2 linked regions of the Nothobranchius furzeri genome follow. The protein of the gene in region 2 purifies or fractionates together with the protein of the main gene of each other region. This does not show direct contact. Links are inferred from orthologs where the notes say so. Each region holds a gene or a part of one and is shown on either strand. Other genes may lie near its edges. The genes, in order: lto1 and abce1.

Region 1 (3,819 bases), on a different chromosome or scaffold from region 2:
CAGGATTGGGACCGCAGTTGGTCAGCCACATTCTCTTCCTTCACAGCAATATTCCAACCAAGTGATTAATCAGTAAATTAAATTTTTTGGTTTTTATAAGTTATCTTTGTTATCTATTAGTGTTATTTGAGCCACTCAATCTGTTGCTATTTGTTAATTAGGTGCCTGTGTTACTGTGCGGCATGCCTAAGTTTGAACGTTTTTATTTTATTTTTTCAAACAGAACACATGCAACATATGGCAAAAAACTTTAAATCTGCTGTTTTTCATGTTTATACGGTACTTGTTTTGCAAAGCGGTCTATTTTATGTACAATGTGATTGTGTTAATTTTTTATACACGTATAAAAACGAAGTTATTAAAAGTCACTGCGCTGTGTTGTCTATATGTCGCTTGTGTCAATATTTCTCATTCAGGTCTCTTAGAAAAGAGGCCTCGATCACTGCGTGATTACAGAGGAGAATAGAATATGAAACGGCCTTGATTTTCCTTTAAGCACCACACAGTTGCTCCTTTATTTATTTATTTTTTTAAAGAATTTTATAATTGAAGTAGTGAGGAGTTATTTGAAATCGCATGCGCCGAGGTGTCACCGGTGATCCTGGTGACACCTCGGCGTTAAATGGTTAATCCTGACCAAGACATGCAGGCCTGAGAAACGAAACAAGGAATCATGTGGTTTCCGTATCCAATAAAATGACATGTTTTCTCCAGAACCAGAGAGGACACAAACTCAATACATCTCTTTTATTGTGAGGTAATAATTTCTCCGGGTTTTGCGGTTGCGGACGGGAGTGGACATGCACACTGCGGGTGCAGGCGGGAGTGTAACATACACTTTGCGGTTGCGGGCGGGAGTGGACATGCACACTGCGGGTGCGGGCGGGAGTGTAACACACACATTGCGGTTGCGGGCGGTAATGGTCAGAAATTCAGCGGGAGCGGGCAGGAGCGGGATGAAGAAAACAGTCCCGCGTAGGGCTCTAGTCCAGGGTATGGGGAGGACACTGGGTACCCTCTTTTATGTCATTTCAGGGTTACAGACTGTTGGTTGAACAACTTGAAGCCCCCTTCAGACAGGCCATGAAAAACGGAAATGTTCAGGACTCTGTCCGTAAGACCTTTGTGTCTGAATACAAACATCCGGATAACGTTTTCCGTAATTAAACCGGACGATGCCCCTAGTAACAGGTCCGGACTTGTTACGGACAAGGTGGCTGCTTCAGACTGGTGAGGTCGAGTTCCGGACAGGGAGGAGGGGGAGGAGGAGGGGATCGGGGGACGCTGTGCGCTCATAGATAGCTCGCTCCTGTAGCATGCGGCAAACCATGGCAGCTCGCCTCCTACGGTACCGTCTAGACGAGCGACGGAGCGCATCACACTGCTTCCGTGATTCCTTTAACCATTGAGCGCCATCATCCAGGTCTTATGCGTCTTCGTGTGCGCAGAATTATGCTTAACATAAGTCCGATCCCCCCAGACATCTGGAACTTTTCCCTGCTGTGTGAAGGCAGCCGAAAGGACAAGTTCCAGTACAAAAGTGGTGTGTCTGAAGACACAGTTCTGGTTAAAAACCGGACTGAATTGTCCACACATATTCCGGAATGTCAATCTGAAAAGGGCTCGAGAGAGCAGACAAGGCCGTGAGAGCTTAAACATGAAGGCATTCTGCTGCTGACGGGACAACTGGTCATTAACAGTGATCAATAGAGAAAACATTTTGTATAGTACCCTCTTCTACAGCTAGTACATCTAACAATCTAAAAAAGGCAGGACGGCAGAATGAATACGTCATGGTTTTAGTAAAACGTACCTCGACCTTTCGTCGGTGTTGTGGTGTAGCAGACACTTCCATGTGATGGCAAAACCATGATAGAAGCTAATCTATGTGAGGAGAAGAGGCTGTTGTTCTTTGAGGGAGTTCATCAGGTCAAGATTCAAGCAAACACCAGATAGCCTGTACAGGCTCCTGCTCACCTCTGAGGAAAGCCTGGCTCCATGAGAGGTTCCATGTCTGCGGCCATCCTGCAGCCCCCGACGGGTTCCCCTCTCAAACCCGTCCCGAAAGCCCTCACCTCGGAACCTGTAACCGACACACTACAATCCAGTCGTGTCCAGAAAATGACTAGTGTTGGTGTTGTAAGGCTATCCCCAACCCTGGTCCTCGGGGCCCACTATCCAGCATGTCTTCCATGTCTCTACTTCAGCACACCTGATTTGCGTATATGCATCGCCTCCTCAGGAGGACATCAAGTGCTGCAGATACCTGTTAATCACTCATTCATTTGTCAGGCAGGTAGCAGCAAGGGAACACTGGTGTTTTAAAGAGCAAGTTGGATTTGGGCCAATAAATTATGTTAATTTGTCAGGTTGGGTCACACAGCGACATTTGCACACTCAAAAAGCGCGAGTGTCTCTGCTCACACTACAGAGAGGAGCGGAGGACGCACCTCTAAACATGCGTTATTATTTCTCCTCGAAGCGCTTCAAAAACTCAGCTTCAGTCTGGCTCAATCAGACTGAGTGGTGTGATGTCGGGAGATCTGGTGTTGGGAGGGGGTGAGTGACAGCGGCTGCAGCATCTAATCACCCGTTTCTTCTCTTTAGGGATGCAGAGAAGTTAATACAAGAGAGTGTCAAAGAGAAATAGAAAATAAAAGTTCTTGTTACACTTTATTATTTTTTTTCATGATGATAAATTAGATTCAATTTGAAGGAAAACTGGGAGGAAGTTCAGGTTTATTTTAAGTTAAATAAGATCTTGTTTCCTTTCTCCTCCTCCGGCGACACGATGGACACGAGGAAATAATAAAAGTCCCAAAGGGCAAGTTTGTAGTTAGCTAGTTAGTGAAGGAGATCCAAAAGGGTTAAAACGAAGGCAACTGGACTTCTTTGGTGTCTTGAAGTTGTTTTGCTTCTCATCTGAGGAGCTTTGTCAACTCTAAACTGGAAAATGGGAGAGTCAAGTTTATAAGCTGTAGCTGTCTGTTGATATTTAACGAGCAGAAACTACTCTGAGTACTAGGGCCCGACCGATATGCTTTTTTTGGGACCAATACTGATATAAAACTTTTAACAAAGGCCGATAGCCAATATAATGGCCAATATATCTCCCTCAAAAAAAAAGAAAGAAAAAATATCTTAAACCTTTCATTCTCTGCCTTTTTGATGCAAACTTATTCCTCTATTACACACCAAAGAACTGTCTCAATAACTCACGAGGGTTTCCAAGTAATGCAAATAAGATTTATTTAGCGGATCTCAACAACAACAGAACACACAAACTCAGTCACAGCATAAATCTAACATTCAAGTTTTTCTTGTAAACTGTGGTCTCCACAAATACATTTTAACTTAAAGGAATATTCCACCACTCAGTAAAATTGTGTCTTGTTAAGATTCCCCAGAGTTAGACAAGTCAGAAAAAGCATTTTATAACCAGCCCAATATGATCTGGCAGCAGTTGGTTTTCTTAGTTTAGCATAAAACAATGAATTCACATAGATTATAGTGTTTTTTATGTAGGCAAACAGGATAAACATATCCTTGACTGTTATAGCTAATGTGTTGTTGATATAATTTATCTATAGCGATAACAATGTTGACAACTCTGTTCTTCCTTCACAACCCACGTTCCACTCACTCGCCAGCTCTCTGGGCCCCTTGTTTTATTTTACCTTTTTCCAAATGTACTGACACTCTGTGTTCTGTTATTTTATTAAATCTTGTGTAAAAAATAAATTGTTTTTCTTTCTCAATTACTGGAATTTCTTTGTAGAAGACAAAAATGGAGAATCATCTACAGTGGGGCAAAAAGTA
Region 2 (3,765 bases):
GCAGAATATTTAAATTTTAACTAAAATGCCGAATTACCGTAAATCCTCTAATATTAGCCTGTATTTAATTAACTACCGAGTATCATATTTTGGCCGGTGTCGGAGTCGGTGGAGGTGAATAATGGCCGGTTTTTTATTGTGGCCGGGTGGAATGTGGTAACAAGCAAGTACGGGGGGCGGTTGTGTCATCCGTCTCACTTTTGATTTGCCAGTGATAGACTGCGAGGGTAACTTTAACCATGCGGAGACAAAGAGGAGGCGAAAATTTGATATCAAGTTCAAAGAGAACGTGCTGATTATGCTGCAGAACACTGGGGAGCAATAGGGGTTGTATGAGCTAGTCACTAGTCGACTTCACCGCTCTAAAGTGACTTTTTATGCCTGTCATCGACTAGTCGCTGTCACGCGATAATGACCGGCAAGATGCAGTCCACGGAAAAGACAGCAGCCTGCTGTCAGCAGGTGACAAGCTCCTGCGCGTCGGGAAGCAAAGCGCTGTGCCAGAGCGTCGGTACTGACACCCGCCGTAAAACGGACATTTAACCAAATTGTGACGTTTACCCTCTTGCAATTTAACCTTCCCCTCACCCCATCCTAACCTTAACCAGCTTGCGCATGCAAAGCTCTGATTGTTGATGCGCTCCAGACATCTGCATCCTGAGCACGGCCACAGTAACATTATCAAATCAGGTGTCGCCACCTCAAAAACTAATTTAACACGCGATCGTTCATGTCGGCTCATTTCATTTTATGTTTTCTGTCTTATTCATTTATTTGTGCCTGATGCGTTTCGCTGCTGTGGATCGGGGCGCATCACCTGGTTTGTCATCGGTGACGCACTGATCACTGATGTGGCCGGCAAGCAGCTCGCACTCCGCTGTTTTTGCGGTCGGTAGATCTTTTAGAACTGCAGTTCAAAGGTAACTCATAAGGTGAATATATATGAACCCAGGTAGCAGTTTCTCTTTAGGATTGAGAGGAGATGCAGGAAGATAATAAACAGGCAGGACAGAAAAATAGTCAAATAAAAACAAGTTAGTTTTTGTACCTGGTGGTTGCAACATACAGACACCATTGAAGGTAATCAGAAGTGAGGAACAGAAAATGAAATAATTATTTTAATGTTTAGAGCAGCAGGAACTCTGAGAGGCTGCAGGCGCATCAGTGAGTTTGCGGCCGCTGCGCAGGGGGAGGGGGGAGAGGGCTGAAGCAGAAACTACCGTTGTTAAAAGAAATGTGTTTAACTTTGAAAATGTGGGCGCAATTTTAATTGTCAAAAACTCCAGCGAACCATTAGTTCATTTTGCTCAAATAGAAATAGAGGCCTGCCTCTAATTCTGGTCCTCCTTCCAATAAAGGCTTGGAGCTTGATGAGCTTGAGTCAAAAACAGGCTCGGGCCTGTATTAGAGGATTTACGGTATTGAATACATTTGTTTACAGCACGATCAGACACTCATTTATATAGTTTATCAGCAAAAAAATATTGATTTGGAGTGACTTGCTCTTTAACTAGCTGTTAGCTCATCAGTCCTGAAGTACATAAATAGGAGGTTTAATAAAACCAGAGTTATTAGTCATCATTCCCTCGTCTCTTCCTGCTCAGTAGGTGTTCCCACCCATCATTCCTGCCCTCCATCATGGCGGATAAAAACACCAGGATCGCCATCGTCAACCACGATAAGTGCAAACCCAAAAAATGTCGTCAGGAGTGCAAGAAGAGCTGCCCGGTGGTCCGGATGGGTGAGTGTCTGAACAGCGTAGCGCTAACCCGGACACCAGGAGGTGTTTTACTCTGAAATGTGTTTGCAGGTAAACTGTGTATCGAGGTGACGCCTCAGAGTAAGATTGTGTGGATCTCGGAGTCTCTGTGTATAGGCTGTGGCATCTGCATCAAGGTACGCTCACACACGAGGAGAAACGTCCGGTCTGTGCAAGTCTGAGTTCGCTGATGGGTTTTTCTGCTGGTAGAAATGTCCGTTTGGAGCGTTGTCCATCGTCAACCTCCCCAGCAACCTGGAGAAAGAAACGACGCACAGATACTGCGCCAACTCCTTCAAACTGCACAGGTGCGCCGCTTTGTCTCTGGGGTGGATGAGTGCTCTCATGGGTCTGTGACGGTCAGCTGTCTGTTACAGGCTGCCTATTCCCAGACCCGGGGAGGTTCTGGGTCTGGTCGGGACCAACGGTATTGGGAAGTCCACAGCTCTGAAGATCCTGGCAGGAAAACAGAAACCCAACCTGGGAAAATACGACGTGAGTGTGGACCCTTCAGGGACGGGGATGGGTGGGACCGGGTTTCTGGTTCTGTTTGGTTCTGATAAACTTTCCTTATCAGGAAGTAAAAATGTGGTTTTGTTGCAGAATTGTTGAACGTTTTCACGAAGGATCGTTACATTTAAACATTTAGTTTTAGTAAAACTTTACGCGTATAAACATTTGAAATTTAAAGTCCATGAGTTCTTTATATCAGGTCATGCTGGTTTCAGAGCCACCTCACCTGTTAGTTTGTTTAACCGATAAAAGTTTTACGGTTGGATTTCTATCTGTGTGTGTCGCTTCCCAGAATCCTCCAGACTGGCAGGAGATCCTGACCTACTTCAGAGGGTCTGAGCTGCAGAACTACTTCACTAAGATCCTGGAGGACGACCTGAGGGCCATCGTCAAGCCTCAGTATGTGGATCAGATCCCCAAAACCGTGAAGGTGGGCGACCGCAGCAGGGCTCTTTCCTTCGATCCAAACATCTGCGTCAGTCTGAGTCGGGACCTGTTGTAATTACCGGTCTCTGCCTGCAGGGGTCAGTAGGGGCCATCCTGGGCAGGAAGGATGACACCGACACGCAGAACATCGTCTGCGACCAGCTTGGTACTAACCTAAGCACAGCTGCCACCTTTGGTGACCGACTCAGTAAGACAGTGAACTCTAAGCGTTGATGATGTTTGTGGTCAGATCTGACTCACCTGAGGGAGAGGAACGTGGAAGATCTGTCTGGAGGAGAGCTGCAGAGGTTCGCCTGCGCCGTCGTCTGTATCCAGAGGGCCGACATGTGAGTCTGGTGTTTTGCTGTGACCTCTGACCCGAGTCCACCTGCTGACAGCCGTGTTTTCTGTTCTAGTTTCATGTTTGACGAGCCGTCCAGTTACCTGGATGTTAAACAGCGATTGAAGGCCGCCATCACCATCCGCTCGCTCATCACTCCGGACAGGTGAGGCGTGTGTTGTTGTTGGCGTTGGTCCTCCTGGTCTCACCTGGTTTTACACGTGTGTGTGTGTTTTACAGGTACATCATTGTTGTGGAGCACGACCTGAGTGTGTTGGACTACCTGTCAGACTTCATCTGCTGCCTGTACGGTGTCCCGAGCGCCTACGGAGTGGTCACCATGCCCTTCAGCGTCCGAGAAGGTAGATTACAAACACAGAAATGGAACAAAGCAACGTTGCAAAATTTTCTTTTTCAGCAAATATTGATTCAAGTAATTAAAGAATGGAGCAGCTGTCACAAAGATCAGCAGCTGTAACAGGAGCTAGATCACAGGAGCTAGATCACAGGTCTCCATCCCAGAGCCACCATCCAGCATGTTCTAGTTGTTTCTCTGCTCCAACACACCAGATTTTATTCAGCAGGTGATTAAAATGCTTCTTTGGTGCTTGACGACCTGATGAACAGGAGATTAAAGCATTTATACAGGTGTGTTGGAGCAGAGAAACAGCTAAAACATGCTGGATAGTGGCCCTCAGGGATGGAGACCCATAGACTAGACACTTGC

The links.
Region 1: the proteins of abce1 (region 2) and lto1 purify together in Homo sapiens (affinity purification with mass spectrometry; 4 studies listed by BioGRID and IntAct, with this or other methods). This does not show direct contact. The link is inferred for Nothobranchius furzeri from reciprocal best matches to the Homo sapiens genes ABCE1 and LTO1.

Annotation. Positions count from the first base shown.
Region 1 is NC_091749.1:21,692,096-21,695,914, forward strand, and holds part of lto1 (protein LTO1 homolog), read right to left. Parts: intron 2,084-3,819; coding exon 1,978-2,083; intron 1,885-1,977; coding exon 1,814-1,884; intron 1-1,813. UniProt on the Homo sapiens protein: The complex LTO1:YAE1 functions as a target specific adapter that probably recruits apo-ABCE1 to the cytosolic iron-sulfur protein assembly (CIA) complex machinery. May be required for biogenesis of the large ribosomal subunit and initiation of translation.
Region 2 is NC_091742.1:88,857,867-88,861,631, reverse strand, and holds part of abce1 (ATP-binding cassette sub-family E member 1), read left to right. Parts: intron 1-1,604; exon of another isoform or gene 1,605-1,607; 5' UTR 1,608-1,638; coding exon 1,639-1,741; intron 1,742-1,810; coding exon 1,811-1,896; intron 1,897-1,969; coding exon 1,970-2,067; intron 2,068-2,136; coding exon 2,137-2,254; intron 2,255-2,564; coding exon 2,565-2,702; intron 2,703-2,794; coding exon 2,795-2,864; intron 2,865-2,948; coding exon 2,949-3,045; intron 3,046-3,114; coding exon 3,115-3,204; intron 3,205-3,278; coding exon 3,279-3,400; intron 3,401-3,765. UniProt on the Homo sapiens protein: Nucleoside-triphosphatase (NTPase) involved in ribosome recycling by mediating ribosome disassembly. Able to hydrolyze ATP, GTP, UTP and CTP. Splits ribosomes into free 60S subunits and tRNA- and mRNA-bound 40S subunits.